Diceros bicornis minor: one gene and its partners. The protein of the gene in region 3 purifies or fractionates together with the protein of the main gene of each other region. This does not show direct contact. Links are inferred from orthologs where the notes say so. Each region holds a gene or a part of one and is shown on either strand. Other genes may lie near its edges.

Region 1 (7,257 bases), on a different chromosome or scaffold from region 3:
TACATGCTCACGATAGCCTGAGATGGGTGATATTGTCCCCAGTCTGTAGGTGAGGAAACTGAGGCTCAGAGCCGTGATGCCACATTTGCCATCAGCCCCTCCCAACCTCACAGCTTCCACTCCTGCTCACCTATAGTCCCTTCTCCTCACAGACAGCAAAGGGCTCTTTCAAAGAGGAAATCAGATCTTATTTAGGAGAAGACGCTCTGTGGGTAATGATGTTATGTGATATTCTACGATCCAAAACTTCTTTATGATTTAAGAGTCTTGAAAAATTAAGAGCAATGCCACAGTGGTGTAAGATGTTACCATCAAGGGGAAACTGAGGGAAAGGTATATGGGAACTCTTTGTACTCTCTGTGCAACTTCTCCATAAATCTAAAATTATTTCAAAATAAAAAGCTTATTTAAAAAACTAATTAGATCATGTTACTCCTCTGCCTAAACCCTATAGTAATTTCCCATTAGGCTTAGAATATACTCTGAATGTCTTCCCGTGGCCACCAAGTGGTCTGGCCTTTGCCCACTTCTTCAACTTCCCCTCCTAACACCCTCCCTCTCACACAGCACTCCAGCCACTCTGGCCTTCTCTCCATTCCTCCAACTCTGGAAGATTATTCCTACCTCAGGGCCTTTGCACTTGCTGTTCCCTCTTTTGGGAATACTCTTCTGCTACGTAGTTCTTCCCAGGACTTTGCCTTTTCTCATCCTTCAGATCTTGACTCAAATGTCAAATCCTCAGAGTCCCTCTTGTCTGTGTTCACATGACCCCTTCTGATTCTCTCATAAAACTCACCACTCTCTGACATTATCTTCTTTAATTGGTTTCTCTGTTCCTATCTGTCTCCTCCACTAGACCAAGAGTTCCATGAGGGCAGGGACTATGCTGGTTTGCTCACTGCTGTGTCCCCAGCTTCTCATACAGAGTAAGGCCTCAATGAACATTTGCCAAGAGAGTACCAGCGTCTGCTGGTAATACCACAGGACGTTGAAATAAAGCTGTGGACTTTGTCAAAGGGCTTTCATCCACATTTTTTCCCATGGTTCCCTACTTTGTACAAAACCTCCAGAATACCCAGGTAGGTCCAGATTTGCTGACAAACCTTATCAACACCATTTCTTTGAATCATTTAACAATAATCCTAATGTTCATTAAATTTGGAAAAGGGAGGAGGAAGAGTTCACCCCCAACCTTCTAGAACAGAGCCCAGATATGCTTTGTTGGCCTCACACAGTATTTTAGAAGAATTTTGAGTTCATGACGAACTTTTTAAAATGGAAACATTTCACATAAAAATCCGTATGTTCAAGTTCTCCTGACAACTCAGAGGATCTGGCCACACTGGGCCCCAGTTTCCCACACGGCCCCAGTGGACTGAAAATGGGAAGTGGCCACTCCTTAGATGAGACTTGCGCTCTCCAGTTCACCACAGTACCTATCCACCTAGCTTAATTTTTTCATGCTATCCGCCTGGTCCCTTTAGTCACTGGGATTCCCCTCAAAGCCTAAAGTATCCTTAGAAATACTATTGTTTCACAAATATTTTAGCCACAGCCTCCATCTTCAAATTGTACATGGAAGGTCAATGTCTAAAACAGATAGTAGCAATAATAGTTAATATTGATGGAGTGCTTTCTGTGTGCCATGCTTCTGTTCGGTTGACTTGAGGGGTTGGGGACCAGAACCCCATCGGCTCCCCAGCATCTTCAGCGGCTCCCTAAGAAAGCTCTGTGGATCCAAGGAAGACAGTTCGAAAAGTACATTTTAATCCATTCTCCTCCTTTTACAGATAGGCAAACTGAGGCCTAGAAAGGGGAAAGGACATTCCACCGGGTAGACAGTAGCCTTTCTGGCAAATGCTTGTCTGCTGGTCCTTAGGGAGGCCACTAGTGTCAATAATGGCAGGAAAAGGCCAACAGGGGATCAGTTCTTTCCTCCGAGTTGTGTGCTGGTGCCTGGGAGCTGATCAGGACTACCCTCTGGGCTCACACCTCTCTCAGGCCCAGAGCCAGCTAATTCACTTAGGCACGTGCCAGCAAAACTGGACTCTGGAGTGGAGTAGCCCAGGGGAGAATGGTGTGTGAACAGAGGCCCTCCCCATGTCCCAGTCCTGTCTGAATTCCTCCGCCAGCCCTGATGGTGTCAACAGATGGTAACATACCTGCGATTTTGTATGGAAAATTACAGTGCTCTTCCTGTGGGTAGAGACACGCGGAGATCGTTCCACTGGGTTCCACATTTGTTCTGTGTCTAGTGTGTGCCAGGGTTGTGCTAGGTGCTAGGGATTCACAACCGTGATGTATTACATATGAACACAGGCTTTTGTTTCTGGCTGTCCTGAGTTCCAGCCCTGGCTCCGTAACTCACTAGCTGTGTGACCTTCAGCAAACAACCCAGCCTCTCTGCCTCTCACTTTCTTCATCTGTAAAATGGGTGTGATAGGAATAGGACATAGTTCCTAGGATTGTCTTGGGATAATTTTTGTCACACACTAAGACAATGAGTGCGGTGTTTTTTTTTTCCACCGCACTTATCAGAAGCTGATATTTTTATTTGCGTCTTTGTTTATTGTCTGTCTGGCTTACTAGAGAACTCTCCATGAGAGAAGGGCCTTGTCTATCTTGCTCACCCTTGCTTCTCCGCCTAGAACAATGCCTGGCACAGAGTAGGGGCTCCATAAATATTTGTCTGCTGAATGAATCTCTGTCTTTCATATTGCTGCTCTAACTGACTTTGCCATGATGCGGCCTGCTCGGGAGGAGCCCAAAGTCTCCCTGACTCCGGCAGAGCCACCCCGACCTTGACAGCCAGCCGTTCACAACAGCCCTGGGCATCGGCTCCGGATCAACTGGGCTCCGTGCCCAGGGCTGACAAGCGACACTTGTGTTTCTTCTGGTGGACAGAGCTGCAGCACGGGAGAGCGAGGTGGCGACCGGGGACAGTGGAGTGAGCCGCTCCGCCGCGCAAGGGGAGCCCCGGACCTCAACGCCCCGCACCCGCAGCAAGGAGCCCGCACCCGGCCCAGGCCGCCCCCGAGGATGGCTGCCCCGGTGGCGCAATCACCTCGATGGCATTCAGGGATAGGAATTCGTGCATCCTGTGCACCTTGAGAAACAAAACTAATTTCTCTGGGAAGGGAAAGGGCTTTGCAAACTGTAAAGCGCTGCAGGAAAAAAACCACATAAATGAAAAGGTCAGGAAGAGAGCAGATGTGTTTGCTGAGTGCAGGCTGCACTTCCAAACCCAGCTGAAGGCGACGCGCAGCCCCGGAGGTGGCACACTGGGGGACCTCCCGGAGAGGGATGCACTTGGAGGGCCAGGGTTTCCCCGCGTGTCTGCAGAAGCCAGGACCCGCCCGCGCTGTCTGCTCCTGCAAACTCGCTCCGCTCTCGCGGCCTCGAGCTGCGGCGCGCGCAATCTGCAAATTCTGCCTTTCTCTGCTGCACACGCTCGTTCACCTTTGTTCTGGCTAGAATCAGGGTAACTGTTCCGACGATTATATAACCTCCCGAGTTCAAGAGAGATAACCCCAAGATAAGGATGATGAAATTATTTTTTGAGGGTGAATTTAAAAAAATGTTTCTCCAAATGTAAAAGTTGCAGAAGCGCACAAAAGAATACATACAGATACCCATATTCCCACCACTCAGAATAAATGTTCACATTTTGATTTATCTGGGACAGGTCTTTTTTTTTTTAGTAGTAACCAAATAAACTTTTCCCTTCCCGCAAGTCCCGGCAAATCTGAATTCAAAATAAATCAACCCACTGCCCTCTATTCTCCCACTCCATCTTCACCCCAGATGTATCTTAAAGGGTGAACTCCAGGACCCCCGAATTCCCTCAGTGCGCTTCCAGACGGCCAGGTCTGCAAACATCTGGCCCCAACGAGCAGCGTCCGGCGAAGGCCGCCACCCTCGGAACGCACAGCGGCGTTTTCTCCCCGGTCCCCAACTCCCGCGTGCAACTTTGCTACTCACGCTCCCGCCAGGGGGCCTATTTGCTCGGCCCGTTTGGCGGAAGGATCCCGCGCGCGGTCGCGGTTACGCTCAACCGTCTCCTCCCCCTCCCCGCGCCCTGGCCCCGCCCCCTCCCGCGCGCCCTATGGCCCATAAAGAAGTCCCGGCCGGGCCGCTGCACTCCCCCGCGCGCATCCGTGCGCCGCCCGAGGCTGGCTCAGGAGTCGGCGGCCATCTTGTTCTTCTCGTGGTTCCAGTGGGGAGAGAAGGAGGAAGCAGGGAGCGGGGCGGTTGGGGGGGGACCCGCCGCGGCTGCTGCCACCGCCGCCACCACCGCCTCTGTGCTCGTGGCGTGGGAAGGGAGGTGTGAGTCCCGGGCGCGAGCCGGCGGCGGCGCCGCTGCGGGAGGGTCTGCGGCGGGAAGGCGATGGCGGATATAGATAAGCTCAACATCGACAGCATCATCCAACGGCTGCTGGAAGGTGACGGCGGCGGCGGGCGGCCCGGGGCTCGCGGGGAGGGGAGTTGGGGGCCGGTGGGGCTTGCGGCGCCGAGGAGGCTGAGCACGGCGAGTTGGGCTGCGGCCGGAGGGAGGCGGCGGGTCGCGCTCGGCCGGCCGGGGACCCTCGGACCCCGCTCATTCATTGCCCGGGTGCAGCCTCCCTGCTGGCCGGGAATTGGGCAACTCCGCTGCCCACTCGCTCGCTTCCGGGCCGTACCCCCTGCGCCCCGCGGCCCGGGCCGGTCCAGCCCCCGGACGGAGCGTCCCGCACTTTGTGGTCCTCGTCCTCTGCGAGAGCGGTCGGGGGGGGGGGGGGAGCTTCGTCCCCATCTCGCTCGGTTTTATTTTTTGTGGGGCTGGGGTCGGGGGGCCCACTTTGGTACTTGGTGACGAACGCTCCTGTCTCAAGGGGATGTTGGAACCCACCTGCCCCTGCCCTTCCAGATACTCTTTCCGAGTTGCCCCTGTCTTGAGATCTCCGCGCTCTTTTCTGAACGTGAAACCGGCGAAGATGACAGTTTCGTTCTCGTCTTTGCAACGTGCCAGGCTCTGTGTTAGCGCTTTGCGTTCATCGCATCGTTAAGAAGATAATAATAGCGCTTCTAAAGCGCCGTATGTCAGGCATTTTTTGAGCACTTTACACAGATTTCACTTAGTTCTGTCTGCAACCTTGCGAGGTTATTTTTTCCTGTTTTTCAGAGGAAACTAAGACGCAGGTGAAGTCACTTGTCCAAGGTCACACAGTTAGTGACAGTCAGGGTTCAGATCCAGGCAGCCAGCAGCTAGAACTCCTTCATCTCACCCTGTGTGTGAAGGAAGGAGATCTCCAGTGGTTAGGCAGAGGTCAAGTTAGAGCTTTCGTTCTGGCTGATTTAAGACTCGTGCGGTGCCTCGTAGTGATGCGGGGGACGGATGAAGTTCGGATTATGGAGAGGGGCGCTGAACCTAACTGCCCCCGGTTCCCGAGCCGCTCTGCTGATGCGAACGTCTTATTCGGAACTCGGGAAGAATTCAGATCCCTTTCTTGGTTTGGGCACTGAATAATGTAGATTTGACTGAATATTCACTGCCTTTTGCCTTTCTACTGTCCTAAATATTGTCGGAACAGAAATGCTGTGAGACGGAGTCGAGAGCGTTCACAGTTGGACAGCTGTGTCCTTAGAATTTGCAGATCTTTTGAAATAAGTTATTAAAATGAAACTCCTGAAAATATCTTTTCTTTATCTGTACAGGTTTTTTTCCTTTTATATTTTCTTGAAAGAAAAGAAGAACCCACTGAATGTACCCCTGAAATGCTCTTGAAATGTTGCTGCCATTTGTGGGTGAAAACCTTGTCATTCGTTCAGGAGCTGGCATTTATTATAAGAACCACACTTTTCACACTAGTTAATACAATTCTTTGATTTAGATGAGGCAGAAGTGGGTCTGAAACTGATTAAAACTATTTGCAATAAGAAAAGAACTTTTTATTAAATATTTTTATTTTAAACTTTTTAATTAGCTTCTGTGTCTCTGTGCAGGGATATGTATTGCTAGATTAGGGTAGGCTTTATTTCACTGAGAAACAGGAAAAATTGGATTCTGCATGGATTAGAAACATTACAGTTTTAAGATTAAAGTCTTGTTAAGTTTTGAGTTGCCCATAACTGTATTCGTGTAACAAATTTGGTTAATTTTGATCTTATTTTTTTCAATTGTGCTAAGGAATTTCCCTTGATAAACTTGGATCATATAAAAAATGAGATCTGTCATTGTTTCTTAATAGTTTCTCTCTATACGTGTTATGTTGCACTTGAAAAGCAGGTTTTTTTATATTTCATTTTTCATTGAAATTAATATAATAAAGCTGTGCATTTTCATGCCTTGGGAAAGGCTAGGTACACAATATACTTAAACTCCTTTTTTTCTCATCAGTGTTAAATTGGCAGAGAAATGGTTGAAGATGATCCATTGAGGATGTGTATATATCCAAGTTAGAAGATGTTGATCATAAATTCATGATTTTTGTAATGCCCCAAAAACCTTTTTCCCTAAAAATTTTTATTAAGATTTAAGTATATCTGAAAATGGAGAGAATGTGAGTTTTGTGACCTTGTTAGACTTTTTTACGTGTTCAAAATTGCCTCGTCTTCAAGTGGAGGACCGACCGTACAAGCTAGTTGAGAAGCAGCTCAGTAAGAGTACTAAAAAGCAACTCAAAGGCTTATTTAAGAAAGGTTTAGATTTTAGTCACTACAGCTTTGCGATTCTTTTCTGCTCTAAACTTTTAGTTTTTCCTCAACTAAAGGCGAGGCAACCCCTCCGCAACCCACCTTGGGAGCTTTTAACCAAGCTCTGCCTTGCTGAGGAGAAAACCCTAAGGTTGTTACTCCTTCATATAATTAATGTTCAGTTATTTCAGTAACTACACAGTAAAACTTGGGCGATTTAGAGAGAAAGTAAGCCAGCTGTTGATTTGGTCTGATATTCCTACACTGTTGGAGAAGAGTGAGATTTGGGGCAGTTTTACTTTGTAAGTGACCTTGTTCGGAGAGCACCGATGGCCGGCACTTTTCTTGCAAAGCAGGCGGTTGTAACTTACTTCACGTCCTGATTTGCAAGATGCCTCTTTGCTCTGAAGGTGACCATTGTCAGACTGCAAGACCATGCCAGGCTCTGCATAATCCTTGACTTGCCGGCCCTCGAACGTGTTTACTGATTTAATCCTCTGATCTGTAAGAGTTCATCTGAAGATAGTGAGTGTTGAAATGTTCTGAAAGTCTAAAATTGTTCGGGTAACCCATGTGCTTTTTAAA
Region 2 (7,992 bases), on a different chromosome or scaffold from region 3:
CTGAATTTTAAAACTCCTGTAAATGTCTTCTTTATTCTTCATCATTAACTTGCTAAGGGTAAGAACTGGGTAATACAATACCATTCCTACACACGTGGGGTGTGTATTTATTTCAGGGTGTGCATGAATGCTGCTGGATAGAGTTGAAATTATAGTCCACGTGGTCACAACTGCCCATTTGCAGACAGGCACAAAGCCCAGGTGGATCCTAATTGATTCTCAGAACTCTCTGGGGTTTTTCAAAACCAATGGAATCAATCAACTGTAAAACAGAAGAAGAAGTAAAATAAGGGTCATAATTTTTTACCTGAAATATGCAGAATTTAAGAAAGTAAACACATTGGAAAGTGTTTGTGTAACATCTGACTCTTGGCTTGAGTGATTTTGCTTCTCTTTGGCACTGGGTTGCTTTATGCTCACCTCAGGCCAGAAGCAATCGGATCAAGCTGAACACTTTACAGACGTGAAGGTAGCCTGGTGTCTAACCATGCGACTTGATGGTTAGACATTAGGTGATTATATTAGTCAAAGTAGATTCATTATTTGTGATGAAATTTTATGAATTTGACTCAAGTCACCAAAGTGTCTGGCATCTAAAATTTACACAGCATTAGTTTTTCATCAATTATTAATATAAAGGGAATCCCTATATCTAGAGAAACGAGGTAGATTTAAATAAAGCTTCAAGGCTTTACCTAGTTAGTTGAATAGACATTAATTATTGGTTCTATGGATCACATTTTTGAAAAATTGCCTAAACCCTTATTAACTATTGAATATTGGAAGGAGTTGATGTAAATAAAGTGGTACCCATATACCCTGATGCTGCCTCTTTTATGAAGGCAGGCCTCACTCCCCGGTATTGCCACACACACTAGCTGGCACTTAATATTTAATGTCTTGAGTTACAGTTATTGGAGTAGCTGTCTTATTCTAACCTCTATATTGTCTCTTTCTTACTCCCTTTTATAATTCTGTAATATTTAGCCAGTGCTTTCCACATGGAAGGTCTTCTGGAACTGTATGTGGAATCAAATTAAAGTGAATTGAGTACATGAGCCTTGGTCCATCACTGACTAGTTGTATCAACAGTCCCATCATTTCTCTGAGCCTTGGGTTCCTCCTAGCCCTGTTCTCCATGCCCACCCCCCCCCACCCCCCCAGTGCCCCAGCATCATCATTCACTATCCTGTCCTGGACTTCCTTACCTCTCACCTACAATATGGTTACTGGACTCCCATATGGCAGCACGGACTAAGTGGTTTTTTTTTTAAATTTTTTAATTGATGTTTTAATGGTTTTTAACATTGCGAAATTTGGGGTTGCGCATTTTTGTTTGTCCATCACCATATATATGACTCCCTTCACCCTTTGTGCCCACCCCCACTGCCCCTGGTAACCACAGTACAGTTTTCTCTGTCCATGTGTTGGTTTATATTCCACATATGAGTGAGATCATACAGTGTTTGTCTTTCTCTCTGGCTTATTTCACTTAACATAATACGTTCCAGGCCCATCCATGTTGTTGCAAATGGGACGATTTTATCTTTTTTTGTGGCTGAGTAGTATTCCATTGTATATATATACCACATCTTCTTGATCCAATCGTCAGTCGAGGGACACTTACGTTGCTTCCACTTCTGGGCTATGGTGAATAATGCTGCAATGAACATAGGGGTGCATAAGCCTCTTTGGATTGTTGATTTCAGGTTCGTTGGATAGATTCCCAGTAATGGGATGGCTGGGTCATAGGGCATCTCTATTTTTAAGTCTTTGAGGAATCTCCATACCGTTTTCCATAGAGGCTGCACCAGTTTGCATTCCCACCAGCTGTGTACGAGGGTTCCTGTTTCTCCACATCCTCTCCAACACTTGTTGTTTTTTGTCTTGGTGATTATAGCCATTCTAACGGGCGTGAGGTGGTATCTTAGTGTTGTTTTGATTTGCATTTCCCTGATGATTAGTGATGTTGAACATCTTTTCATGTGCCTATTAGCCATCTGTATATCTTCTTTGGAGAACTGTCTGTTCATTTCCTCTGCCTATTTTTTGATCAGGTTGTTTGTTTTTTTGTTGTTCAGTTGTGTGAGTTCTTTATATATTATGGAGATCAACCCCTTGTCAGATGTATGTTTTGCAAATATTCTCTCCCAGCTGGTGGGTTGTCTGTTCATCTTGATTCTGGTTTCATTTGTCTTATAGAAGCTCTTTAATCTGATAAAGTCCCACTTGTTTATTTTTTCTTTAGTTTCCCTAGTCTGGGTAGGCATGTCATCCGAAAAGATTCCTTAATAACCAATGTCAAATAGTGTGTTGCCTATATTTTCTTCTATGAGTTTTATAGTTTCAGGTCTCACCTTCAGGTCTTTGATCCATTTTGAGTTAATTTTTGTGAACGGCGATAGCAGATGGTCCACTTTCATTCTTTTGCATGTGGCTGTCCAGTTTTCCCAACACCATTTATTGAAGAGACTTTCCTTTCTCCATTGTATGTTCTTAGCACCTTTGTCGAAAATTAGCTGTCCGTATATGTGTGGTTTTATTTCTGGGCTTTCAATTCTATTCCACAGATCTGTGTGTCTGTTTCTGTATCAGTACCATGCTGTTTTGATTACTATTGCTTTGTAGTATGTTTTGAAGTCAGGGATTGTGATGCCTCCTGCTTTGTTCTTTTTTCTTAGGATTTCTTTAGCTATTCGGGGTCTTTTGTTGCCCCATATAAATTTTAGTATTCTTTTTTCTATTTCTGTGAAGAATGTCATTGGGATTCTGATTGGGATTGCATTGAATCTGTAGATTGCTTTAGGTAATATAGACATTTTAACTATGTTTATTCTTCCAATCCACGTGCATGGGATATCTTTTCATTTCTTTATGTCATCATGGATTTCTTTCAATAATGTCTTATAGTTCTCATTGTATAGGTCCTTCACCTCCTTGGTAAGATTTATTCCTAGGTATTTTATTCTTTTTGATGCAATTGTAAATGGTATTATCTTTTTGAGCAGACTAAGTGTTTTAATACATTATTTTATTTAATCCTCATAATTTATGAGATGGAGAGCATCAGGCCCGCTTTTCAGCTGATCAAGCTGAGGCTGGAGAGAGACTGAGTGCCACGTCTAAGGCACGAGTAAATGGTAGGATTGGGATCTGAACTCAGACCTGTGTGACGTCTGACGTACTCCGGCTGTTCCTGAACTTGCCTTTCAATCAGAATTATTTTGAGAAAGGCTCACTCTAAACCAGTATACCCCTCGCTCCCCAATGCATCAAAACAAAAACAACATCTGTAATTATCAGTAATTTTTGTGGATCCAAGTATTAATACAAGAGTGAAGAAGACCTCAGCAAGAGTTGTTGTCATAGCTGTCACAGAGTTTATTGGGTGGAAGTGTTGAACGTTGTGGTCAAATAGAAGAAGAGCATGGTGAGCCTTTCCCATGAAGGTGTGGAAAGAAACCTGGAGTCTACTTCTGCGTCTGCCTCAAGCTTTCTCCTTGGCCTTGGGCAAGTGGCTTCAACACTGGGTCAGTATCCGGGTAACATGGGAATGCTGACACACTGCCTATTTACTGCACTGGTTTGCTAGGACAGGTGATCCAGTGTGTTGGTCAAGGGCTGTAGATGAAAGGAAGTACAATGTTTTATAAGACAAATTGCACTATATCTGGGGCAGTGTGGGGCAGCGGCAAGTGCAGAGATTCTGGAAAGCAGACGAATCTTATTGTCCTGCCTCCTTATTTCAAAATGGGAAGTGGAGTGGGATGGACGAATGGTCACCAGCTCTTCCTGCTCTAAACGCTGACGTTCTACTTGAGCTCCCGGGAGCTAACTGCTTTCAGATTCTAGAAACAACTAGCAAAAGTGAATTTACTGTCGTTTGGGACAGAGGTGGGCCAACGAATCTTTGCCATTCCATAAACACAATAACACACAGTTATTAAGGAATCACAGCTCATAGCTAAGACAGAGATGAGCTTCAGTTACTTTTCTTCACTTGGTGCACGGTCTTGTAAAACTTGTCTCACGTCCTGCATGCACTTAACTCATTATAGAGCTGCTTTCTTGTGCCGGGTTGAAGTGCCTCCGCGAAGCGCCGGCGTGTCGTGGGGATCCCCTTGCTTTCCCCCAAGGCATTCTGAGTATATTGTTCACAAGTTTGCGTTAGGATTGCTTATGTTGCAGAATTTTTAAGAAATGAAATTATCTGAATTGCTGATGTTTAAGTTCTACGTATTAAAGCGGGTGGGTCACCACGGGGTTAGAGGAAACTTCAAGGTAAACAGTGGCCTCAGGAGAAAGACTGGGTCGAGTCAAAGCTTCCCCGACGTCTCCCCAGAGCAGATGATTAATTTTTGCTTTGACCATAACAACCTCTGCCCAGCCTTGCAGCCTAGCGAGCGAGCCAGTGCAAAACCCTGCCAAGCTGCGGGTCGGGGGGAGGCGTCCGCGGCGCGTGGGCCCCAGCGGGAGAAACCTCGGCGGGCACACCCCGGCCCGACCCGTCCCATCCTCCTGGGGGGCCGTGGAGACGGCTCCTCCCCAAACGTCTCGGCGCGTTCAGTCTGCCGCGCCGAGAGTAAACCGCTTGCTCTAGAAGCGATTTCACCCGAACCCCTCCAGCCGGAGGAGGGGGATTAAAAGTGACAAAGAAAGAGGGGGGGCTCCGGAGAGAGCTCTGGGGGCATGGAGCGGGCGTCCCCGAGGAGGGGCGAGCGCAGCCCTGCAGCGCGCGGGGGCGCGTGAGGGGGGCTGGAGGGGGACGCGGTGCCGAGGCTCGGGGGGCGGCGGGGCGAGGGGCGGCGCCCGCGGCAGGGCCGGCCCAGGCAGCAGGCTGCCCGCGGAGGCGGGCCGTGCGGCGAGGGGTCCGCGCCCCGGGGAGGGAGGCGGCGGGGCCGGGGTGCGCCGCCGTGCGCTCCGCCCCGCGCGGGGAGCGGGCCGCGCCTCCCCCTGCCGCATGTGCGCGGTGTTGTGTGCCCGGCCTGCTCCTCCTCCTCCCTCCCCTCGCCGCCGTCCCCTCCCCCAGCGGCCCCGAGCGAGCGCGAGCGCCACACAGCCCCGGGCCGCCGCCGCCGAGCGCGCCGAGACGCCGAACAGGTGGCCGGAGGCTGCGGGCGCCGCGGCGGGGAGAGGCGAGGCGAGCCCCGGGCGAGGCGAGGGCGGCCGGGCCGGGCATGCGAGCCGAGCCGTCCCCCGGCGCCGCCGCCTGCCCGCGCCCCTAGCCACCCGCGCGCCCGTGCAGCGGCCCCGCCGCGCCCAGCGTCCAGCGCCCCGCGCCCCGGCCCGGGGCCGCTCCGGCCGCGCTCAGCGAGGGGCGCGGGCCGGCCCGCGGCGGCGGCGGCATGAAAGTGACGGTGTGCTTCGGCCGGACCCGGGTGGTCGTGCCGTGCGGGGACGGCCACATGAAAGTTTTCAGCCTCATCCAGCAGGCGGTGACCCGCTACCGGAAGGCCATCGCCAAGGTGAGGGGCCGGGGGCGCGGGGGTGGGGGCGGGAGAGAGGGGGGTGGAGGGGGAGGAGGAGAGGAGGGAAGGCGCCGGGATCAATATGGCGCTTCCTGGAACGGGGAGGAGGGAGCCGGAGGGGAGGCGGGGAAAGGGAAAGTGCGGCGGCCCGGCCGGCCTCGCGGGCGGCCCCCGCCCCGGGCTGCGGGCGGTAAAGTTCTCCGCGCGGGCCGGGCCGGCGGGCGAGCGCGGGCGCAGCCCCCGGTGACGGCGCCGGCCCCCGCGGCGCCCTCCGGGCCGATCGCCGCCGCCTCTCCCTCGGGGCCGGGGACGCGGGGGCCGGCGCCGGCCACAGGCGCCCCCGGAGCCGCCCGGGGAGCAGAGCCGAGCCCCGCGCGCCGGGCGCGGGCGCAGCCTGGCCGGACGCCTCTCCCCGGGCTGCCCGCTGCCGGCAGTTGAAATCCAGCCCCAGGCCTCGCCCCGCTCCCAGGCCCCGCGGGCCAAGGCTGGGAGAGGGAACTTTTTTGGTGGAGAAGAGTTTAATTATTGCACACACGATGGAGAGCGGCTGCGTTTCTGCTCCTTGGTCTCCCTGCGTCCGGGCGGGGAGAGAGGCGAAGCGGGAGCCCTTTCTTGCCTGCCGGCCGCGGGCGGGGGCGGCCCTGCGCAGCGTGGGGGTGCTGGTGGGCGACAGTCAGCGGCCTGCGGTCGGGAAGGCGGCTCCGAGGGGGACCCCACTTCCCCTGGCTCGCGAGCCTCGGTTGCGCGCAGAATCGCGGTGATTAGGAGGCTCCGGTGCAGAGCTGCTTTACAAAGCACAGTCCTGCATTCACTCGCTGCATTAAAAGTTGTCCTGCAGGGACCTTGGCGTTTACCTATCTGGGACTAGTTCCATATGGTGTCGAGGCCGCCGAGCCAGGGCCTGATCTCGGAGTTGAGTCGATTTCTCTTTTTCTCCGTGGAGTGATAACATTGTATCCACTTAACTGCATTCCTCTACAATGTGTCAGAAGTGAAAAGGCATTTTGTTAAATTGTTTTCTCGGCTGTGTCTGTGTTTGACAACAGCCCACGCCTCCGAAGTTTCTCTCAAGCACCTTGAGGATATTTCCTTTGCCGTAGAGTAATGTTTGGTGGAAAGCACATTAACTTGTTAAATTTCCTGTTTGTTCCCGAGAGTGGAGTGACCTGGCCCTGTGGGCTTTGGGGCAGTGGGTGAGGGGGACCCGGGCTTTGTCAGCCTAACTGCGTTTGTACATGGTGCTCAAGTGGCGTCCTCCAATTCTCTCTGAAATTAAGAAGAAAAACTTTTTTACCCTGTTTTCTTTTTAGTATATATTAGAAAAAATAGCATAAATTTGGCCTTTTAAAGATAATGATGGGGACGTTAAGGGACCTGACAAAATGATGGAAGATGTTGACTTTAACAGCTCTAAAATGTTCCTTACAGTTGGTTGAACTCGTATTGAAAAGCAAATAAAATGTGTGGAAATTGGGCACCTGTTTATCTTGCAACACTGACAAGGGGAGGAAAAACCCCTCTAAACCCCTTAGCATTTTAAAGGATTGTTTATGAATGACAGTTTATGATCTAAGTGTAATCTTATGTTTATGATCTAAGTATAATTAGTAATCAGGTTGCACATGTACTCTGGAAACCAACAAAATAAGTTGTGAAAGGAAAGAGAAATACCATAATATATACTCTGCAGTGTGCCTAGGTTACTGAATAGGGAGAGGTGATGGACATTTTCTTTCATTTTACTAGTTTTATCCGCTTAAAATTAGTCATATGTCATTAGGCACACAATGGGCATTGGTTAGATAGCCTGTTTGGGAGACACAAATGTGGTTGTTTGATTGATTGAGTCATTCATTCATTCTACAGAAATTCTTAAGCATTTACTATGTCCAAAGCTTTGTTTTGGGTGCTGGGCATCTGCGGGACCCACTGGCTGCTTTGTGGAAATTGGGCTGTGAGAGTCTAGGACAGAAGGTTTCATGGTCCTCCAGTGAAGGAGGCTGGAGGTGTGGACTGGCGTGTTGTGGTGCAGTGAGAAGAGGATGCTTCTGGGATGTGGGGTAGATGGAGTTGAGAGTCTTCAGTGATAGATCTGGACCTTGTTTTTTAAATGTTAGTGGTGGTTGTTTCATAGTGACCTGGGAGCACAGTAAAGGGAGTACAGTTTTCTTAAGCGAGTCTGAGAAGGCACCTCAAAGAGAAGGGGCATAGGAGCTGAGTTTTGAAGGGTAAGTATGAGATTACCAGGGAGAAGGAAGGAAGGAATGGTGATTCTCAGAGGGTGATGGTAGCATTGGAGGTGGATATAAATGAGAGGGAGAAGTCAGAGATGATTCATGGGGTTCCCAAATTAATTAAATGCTTTTTAAGTTCAGCTCACAGTTCAGTGGGTGAATTTTAAGACAGGTGTTGTAGTATACAAAGTCCAATCATTGGATCACAAGACTATTGACTCTCAAATGATGCAAGAGCCTGAGTATCTTCTAGGTCCATTTGTATTTTTTCCTCTTAAATTGTTAGGTAA
Region 3 (7,779 bases):
ACTTAATTTTAGCTGACTAAACCCATTCTTCTAGCCTACCATAAATAATCAAGACTTTTTAATTTTCATGGGGTTATCCTCTCAAAAAGCTTCCACCTAAATAAGGACCCAATCATATTTTAAATTCCATTTCTGAGTGTATTAGGCTGCATTTCTTTCAGTATAACCTGTTGCAGTTTCCATTTATAGTTTATGCTTTATTTTCTTTTCATACTGTACTTCAGTGTTTAACAAAACATACTGATGATCACTCTCCTGCCCCATCAAATTATTGGAGGGTCTTTTAAGGGGCTATGTTTTGGTAATTAAACATTTTATTTTTTTAAGAAGAAACTGTCATTAAGTTAAAAATTCCTACAGATCTGAGAACTGTTGGCTATTTCTAAAAAGCTCCATACATTGGTCAAATAAATCACAATATTTATAGATCTTTGCAGTGTTTCAGTATGTGTACAAGATTTTCCTTAGGAATGGGAAAAAATACCATATTTACTTGCTTACCACACACATATACTGAAAAGGAGATATTACTTTTTTTTCTTTTCCTTTCAAACTTATCAGTAACAGTGACTAAATGAAGGCTTCATAGGTTAGGCTGAAGAACTCTAAATGACTCCATTTGTACATATTTTAGCATATGACTTTAGGCTTCAAGGTAGCCTTGACGTCACAAGGCTGTTGCTGTGGCTCCAGCCATCACATCCATGTTCCAGGCAAGAATAGGACTCGAGTCAGCCCTGCCAGTACCCTATCACCAGACACATAAATAAGGAGTTTTCCTGGAAGCTCTATACAACACCTTCCACCCACACACCATTGCCCTATACTTAGTCACCTCTATCTGCAAAGAAAGTTGTGAAATAAAATTTTTCACTGGGCACAAAATCAGGTTTCTGTCACTAAGAAAGAAGGAGAGAAAGGGAATGGAATAGGCAACCAGCATTATCTGCCACATTTTCATTTTTAGCATGTTTCCTTACACAGCCTATGAGCTCATAGAAGGTTGAGATTATGTTATATTCATATTTGCAATCTCAGAACCTAGCACAACACCACTGTTTATTATGTTTTTTATTATGTTTATTAATTAAAGAAGAAAATGGAAATCTTAGCTAGTTACAGGTTAGAAGGAGGAAGATTGAAGACAACATAACAGGTGAACACACAGCATTGGTTTATTCCATTTATATTGTCATTCATTCATTTAATTGTTATTTCAGCTAGTATTAACTGAGCTCCCAGTCTGAGCCAGGCCCTGTGTCAGGCATGGGGGATACAGGGGTAACTAATCTCTGGCTGTAAGAAGGAGCAGGGGCGAGGCTGGGGGAGCACAGAGAGGGCTCCACAGGAAACAAGCACTTGTAGGGTAATGTGGCAAGGGAACTGAGACGTGGTCCTGACCCACCTTCTGAGAGGTTAGGAAGCTGTAAGTGGTCTAGTGAAACACAGACTGGGAAAGAAGTACGGTAAGAGGAGGAAAGACACGTGGGGCTAGATAATAAAGAACCCGAGATATGCAGAAGTCCATAATTTATTCCTGCCAGCACACAAACCTATTTGTTTTGACAAAATGTTTGTTTCTATGGCTACCTTGGCCTTCCTCATGAAGGGATTTCCCAACACTTTGCCCTTGATGGATCTGACCCACCGACAATTCCTTTCTGGGTCTAAGCTTCTTGGCTGGTCTAAACTGTAGTCACAACTGTGTTCCACAGAGCTTATCTGAGCATGGAGCAAATGTCTTCCCAGCATCCCATCTTACAGGGTGGTCTAGATACATATTTCCCAAACTTGGCAATATGACTCCACTGGACACGATAAAAAAGAGTAGTCAGAGATTTCCAGAGAAAGGGATTTATCCTCAAGAACTGCAGATGTGAACCTGATTTTCTTAGTGTGCTAACATCTTGGGCTTCAGTTACATAGGTCAACGAAGGGATATAGGTTTAGTTGAACAAGTCACCACTTCAGCAATCTTATAGTCAAATAAGTTATCCCAATGACGATTTGACTAGTGATGAAGACAGTCATCTTTTCCTGCCAATAATTCAGTTCAGTTCAGTTCATAAGATATATGGCTATAAACGGATCTACATCAATTCCTATTTTCTTTCCCTATTTTAGAGAAAGAGATGTCCACTTAACCACGAAGCAGAGGTCACAAAGAGAGAGAGAGAGAAAGATTTGAAGATGCTATGCTGCTGGCCTTGAAGACAGAGGAAGAGGCCACAAGCCAAGGAATGCAGGCCGCATCTAGAAACTGGAAAAAGAAAGGAAATGGATTTTCCCTTAGAATCTCCAGAGAGAACAGAGGTCACACCTTGATTTTAGGATTTCTGACCTCCAGAACTGTAAGATTACACATTCTTGTTGTTTTTGGCCACTAAATTTGTGGTAACTTGTTTACAGATAGCAATGGGAAACTAATAACACATAATAACATATCTCTAGGTGCTGTTCCCCCACAAACACCCCTGTTCATTCCCACTGCTCTCCACATAACTCTCTCTCCCTTGGGATTCTCCTCTTTTCTGAATCCACCCTCTCAGATTGTTTTCTTAAAAATCAAATCTCATTATGTCACAGGGTTTGAAGTGCATGAATATGCACTGCTTCTAGTTATGTTGCTTTCTGGGAATATAATTAGAATCTAGAAATAAGGGTTGTTTACAAACCCTATCAAGGGCATTTGGTGTGATCTCAGGAGGGCTTAACAGGGGTGTGATTATAGCTAAGAAAGCTTACAACAAATTGTACTATATGCTGAACAAAGACCGCATCAACCACATGGAGCTGAGGTAGGGAAGAGGTTTTCCTGGTTATCCAGGACCGAAAGAGGTAAATTCACTGACTTCAGCAGCCATCAGTAAGGCACACTCTAGTTTGAGGCGGGGATACCTCACCAGGTCCCTGGATCCTAGTAAGAGCTTCCCCTAAATAGTGGACATGCTTATTCAATCATGGTAAGTTTCATCCTGATTTAAATGCTGGTCACACGAAAGTTGGTTGTCATGAGTCAGTCAACTTATTCACCTCTGGATGCATGATAAAATCGGGTCAGGACCCTACTGGTGACCAATAGAAACCAGATTAAGATTCTTCTACTCGGTAAGATCCTGAATCCTGGTTTAACAGTAGCTACACTCCTGCAGGCTATTACTCACCCCTGTTTCAAAACCTCCACAAAAGAGGGATGACTATCACAGCAAAAAAAAAAAAGGAGGAAAGTTATAAGAAGAAAGGAGAGGTCAACAATAGCAAATGCCACAAAGGGCACCACAAGGTGGGCATTACATTTTTCCATTAGATTTGGCAATCAGGCGGTGACTGATGTTCAGTGGAGTGAAAGGTTGACAAGGGAACGAGAGCTTAGGAAATGTTAACCTGAAGGCTGTGGAACCTCTGAAAAGAGGAACCATGCCCTACAGAGCCATTTTTAGATAAAGTTCCCACAGGTTATGCATTTGAATCAGAGAACTCGTCTAGTCCCCAAATCCTCCGAATGTTGTCTAGCCAGAGTCCAGTCTTACCATCTCTCTCCTCAGTTCACCTGAGGTAGAGGAGCTAATGAGCTGTGCAATAACTAAAGGTCGAAAAACAAGAGGAAGAAACAAAAGGCCTACAAACCCAAGCTCAGAACGAACAAAACAAATCAAGCCCTGAGCAAGATGACCCGTAACAAGTGCTTTAAATTTAATATCCTTGTTTTGATGATTAAAAAACGAGTGTCTGGAGAATTAGAAGGGGCATTTTATAATTGATGCTTCCTTGCGTCACATCCATTAACCTCACCCCATCTCCCTCCAAATTAACAGCTAATGCTGACTTGCGGGCAAAAGACGGAATTTTGTCCAGTGGCTAGAGTAATCACATACCATTAAAAAAAAGGTGGGATAGTGAAAACAACCTACACATCTGCATTTCCAGAGGAAAGCAGTGGTTTCCTTCCCTATTTGCTCTATTGCAAGGTAGGTGAGAGGGGTGGGGGGGGGAGCGGTTTTCTGAATCTGAGCCCAGCTCTTTCTAAACTTGGTTACTCACGTCTGATTCATTCGCTGTGTTTTCGTCTCCTGTCTCTGTCATTGCCTGCTGCTGAGAAGGGGGTCGCTGAATCACTGCCACTCCAGATGAAAAGCAATTCAGACCCAGTCCTTGGGGGATGGAAGGGTGGAAGGGCTTTTTTTTTTTTTTTTTTTTTTTACGCGTCTGCAGAAAAGCCTCCTACTTTCCGGGGTGACCGGAGAGGGCAGTTTTACAAGTTTCAGCCCCGGGCTATGGGAGATTTTGCTCCTGGGAGAGTCAGTGAGGCCCTGGTCACCTCACTATTCGTGGCTTTCTGGGCCCCAGGCCTCGGTGGTCGGGGCGTGCGTGGCGGGCCGTGCTAGGGCGGCCGGGGCGAGCCCGGCCCGGTGGGCTCCGGCGGTCGCGCCGCGCTCCCCGCCGCTTTAAAAGCTCCCACAATGCCGCGCTGGCGTCCCAGTTCCGTTACACTGTCTCTCCGGGCGCCGGCGAACCGGCGAGGCGCGGGCGGGGGAGCCGGCAGCGGCGGCTGTAACCCGAGCGCCCGGCCGAGGGGGGCGCCCCCGCGCCGCTGCTCTCGCGCGCGCAGCCCGCCGCCCGGAGAGGGGGCGGAGCCGCCGGCTGCCCGGCCCGGCCCGGCCCCCAGCCCGGCCCCCAGCCCAGAAGCACCGGCCGCGGGAGCTCGCCGGCCGCCAGCTCGGCCGCCCGCGCTCGCCCGGCGCCCCGCTCCTCGCCGAGCCTCGCCCGCCTGCCCGCGGCAGCGGCGGCGGCGCTGGGGGCGGCTCCTGCCGGCGGCGCAGCGGCAGCCCGCGCGCTCGCAGCCCCGGCACCCCGGCCCGGGGCGTCCACGCTCACCTAGCGCCGGCCCGGAGGTGCGCGGAGAGGGCGCGCCGGGGAGCCGGGGCCTCCGGCCGGTGCGCCGCGCGCGGCCCGCGGAGCGCCGCGGAGGGAGGCGCGCGGGGCTGCGCGGCCGCGGACAGGCGCTGGGCGGCCGCCGGGCTCCGGGCGCCGCCGCGTCCCCAGCGCCCCGGCCAGCCCCGCCGGGCGGCCTGCGGGGGCGGCGCAGTTGCGAAACTGAGTGAGTATTAACTTTACTCCGCGGCCGCGATTTCTGGGCAGCGTCCGGGACCCCTCCCTCCTTCTCCTGGAGCCTCGGGGCTCCCCGCTTCTCGCCCCCTCACCCCTCTTGTGCACCTGGGGTTTCTTCGCCCTCTCCGTCCCCCACCCGGTTCCCGCCGCGGGCTCCCACTGCCTCCAGATCACCTTTTCCCGGTCGTGTTCCCCTAGTTGAGCCTTCTCCCCGCTGCACACACGCGCCTCGGACTGAAAAGTAACGAGCTTGTTCCCTGCTTCTCTGTTTCCTCCCAGTGTCCTTGGCAGGGGAGTTTAGAGGCCACTTTTGTTGGGCAGGGAAATGTATGTCTGGCTTCTTTAATATTTTTCTTTCCAGATGGAAATCGGATGCGCGCTGGCCGGGTGGCGGTTTGGTGAAAGCTTATTTTTTCCTCTGAAAAAAATGATTGGTGTATAGGTTTTTAAATTTTGTTTGAACGATTCACCATCCTCCGTCCCTGTTTCTCCTTACTGCCAACCCATCTGGGGAGGGGAGTCCAGAAGAGGGGACTTCCAGAGTAATTCCGTTTTGCAAACTAGAAACTTTCAGAGGGTAGAGGGCAGAAATCTTAGTAAGATGCAACCTGAAGGGACTTGAGCTTTGAACGTGGGTCCTTGTGCGGCACTGGGTCTTACAAGCCGAGTACCTGGATTCGTAATCGAGTGTTGCGTTGTTATTTTAGCATCAGAGAGCCGCATGGTGTTGCTAAACCACTACTTTTTCAGCATCAGATGGCATCTTAAGCAGTGCAAGCGTTGAATATAATTGCGGATCAGTATTGCCCATGATCTTTAGGGATTTGGAAGGGAAATAGATGCAAGCCACGTTTCGTAGCTGATTTAAACCCGTCAAGTTAACCCTGTCAATACATCAAAGCATTGCATTTTTAAAAAATTCCTCCAGCCAGGTGACAGCGAGGACGAACATTTGTGGATTTTCCAGTGTAATGTGGCTCAGCAATTCTTCCTTAGATCTGTTGTGTCCTCAGGAAGCACCTTCAAATATGTGTAGATCTCTGCTTTTCTGTCAGTTGGATTAACCACTCATTCTAGTAGGGGGCACCCGGTAGTTGGATTTTTTTTTCCAAGTCTTTCATTTTTTAGATTGCCAGGAGTTGGTGATCATGTTATGAAGGAACAGAAAAATGAGAAGCTTTCGTAATGGATTTTTTAGCATGCTTTCCTTTGCCTGGATGAGGCAGGAGTGAATGCCAGCTAGCCCTCTGCAGGGAGAGGTACCGGGTGGACACAAGACTCAGGAAGCAGGGCACAGCACCATCATTTTGGAGGATTTGTGTGAGTTTTTATCTTTTAGTGGGCATATTAATGGTCCTTTTAATTTCATTTATCTCCTTGGGGAGCTCTCCCAAAACTATAAAAATTACATGTGACTGTACCCCACTTTAAGAAGACTGAACATAATTTGATGATTATTCTATTGAAGAATTAGACCCAACAAAATATAATTTGTCACACACATGACGAAGCCTTTCGAAAATCTCCCACTTCCTCATTTTGTCTCCTTTTAAGAGTCTCAAGCTGGTACTTTCAATAATAGACACAGTTGGCAGTAATGCATTGAGTTCTTTGTAGATTCATTGATTGAGCCTAATTTCTGGGCTTCAGTAGTTGAGGAGGGCATCAGAGAGCCCAGGGAGGGAGCAAATCATGGAACTGTGCACATAGGAAAGGCATTTCAGTTTGCAGAAGTGTCAGCATGTTACAGGGAAAAGCAGTTAGAAAGAAGGGAATGTTTAAGTTGTTTTTAGGGTGCATGTTGACTGAATTTGGCATTTGGTTGAGATATTTTGGAATTGCAGATTTTAAATTCTACACAGTTGCGCTATCATTTCTTTTTGCGTAACATTTCATTTTTTTAAGGTTTCGATTTTTTAATGTGAATCTCAACGCTTGGCCTTTGTAGCCTTCTGTACTGGTGGCTTGCATTAATTTTTGACTTGAATGCCTGGGTCATTTTGAGAAATGATTAGTTTTTCAAAATTTCTTACTCATTAAGTGATCTATCTTACGTTGATGTATGTCATGACTTGAAAGTAAAAATATTATTTGCTGCTGGATATTGTTGCTCTTTTCATTATGGTTGATTCCTGGCATAATGGCTTTGCTCATTTATTGTAAAACATTAAGGTCCTAGATATTTTGCTAGTGTCCAAAACATTGCAAAACTCTGCAGGTAGAAGTGGAGTGGGAATGGGCGTGGAACAGGAAAACACTATGCATCATAAATCTGAGGATTTGGATTTAAAAAATAATGTATCACCTGTTTACTCTCCTTGGATGCTGGGTTGCTCCAACCCTAAATAGATTTCAAAATTCAAAGTGTAGAGATCATTTCCAAGAACTCTGTATGGTGGAAAGAATGCTTACCCCACAGCCAGCCAGCCAGCCAGCCAGACTTGGGTGGCAAGTGTGCCTTTTCACGTGGAACTGGATGAGCTTGACCAGGCTGCTTCAGCCTCTGTGCTCTGCAGTTTGCTTTCTGTGAAATGGGGATACTCCTACTAGAAGGGGTGCTGTGATAAGAACACCTAATACAGTGCCTGGCACATCTTAGCCCATAAATGGCAGCATCTCAGACTTCTCCAGAACTGAGCTCTTGATGACTCAACCTTTCAACTGTTCCTC

The links. Proteins that work in one complex are often made in the same cells at the same time.
Region 1: the proteins of RASSF8 (region 3) and PPP1CC purify together in Homo sapiens (affinity purification with mass spectrometry; 3 studies listed by BioGRID and IntAct, counting the BioPlex papers as one, with this or other methods). This does not show direct contact. The link is inferred for Diceros bicornis minor from reciprocal best matches to the Homo sapiens genes RASSF8 and PPP1CC.
Region 2: the proteins of RASSF8 (region 3) and PARD3 purify together in Homo sapiens (affinity purification with mass spectrometry; 4 studies listed by BioGRID and IntAct, counting the BioPlex papers as one, with this or other methods). This does not show direct contact. The link is inferred for Diceros bicornis minor from reciprocal best matches to the Homo sapiens genes RASSF8 and PARD3.

The regions. Positions count from the first base shown.
Region 1 is NC_080774.1:9,197,000-9,204,256, reverse strand, and holds the start of PPP1CC (serine/threonine-protein phosphatase PP1-gamma catalytic subunit), read left to right. Parts: upstream 1-4,237; 5' UTR 4,238-4,387; coding exon 4,388-4,442; intron 4,443-7,257. UniProt on the Homo sapiens protein: Protein phosphatase that associates with over 200 regulatory proteins to form highly specific holoenzymes which dephosphorylate hundreds of biological targets.
Region 2 is NC_080775.1:32,630,938-32,638,929, reverse strand, and holds the start of PARD3 (partitioning defective 3 homolog), read left to right. Parts: upstream 1-4,972; 5' UTR 4,973-5,345; coding exon 5,346-5,465; intron 5,466-7,992. UniProt on the Homo sapiens protein: Adapter protein involved in asymmetrical cell division and cell polarization processes. Seems to play a central role in the formation of epithelial tight junctions. Targets the phosphatase PTEN to cell junctions.
Region 3 is NC_080756.1:36,918,109-36,925,887, reverse strand, and holds the start of RASSF8 (ras association domain-containing protein 8), read left to right. Parts: upstream 1-4,773; 5' UTR 4,774-5,098; intron 5,099-7,779.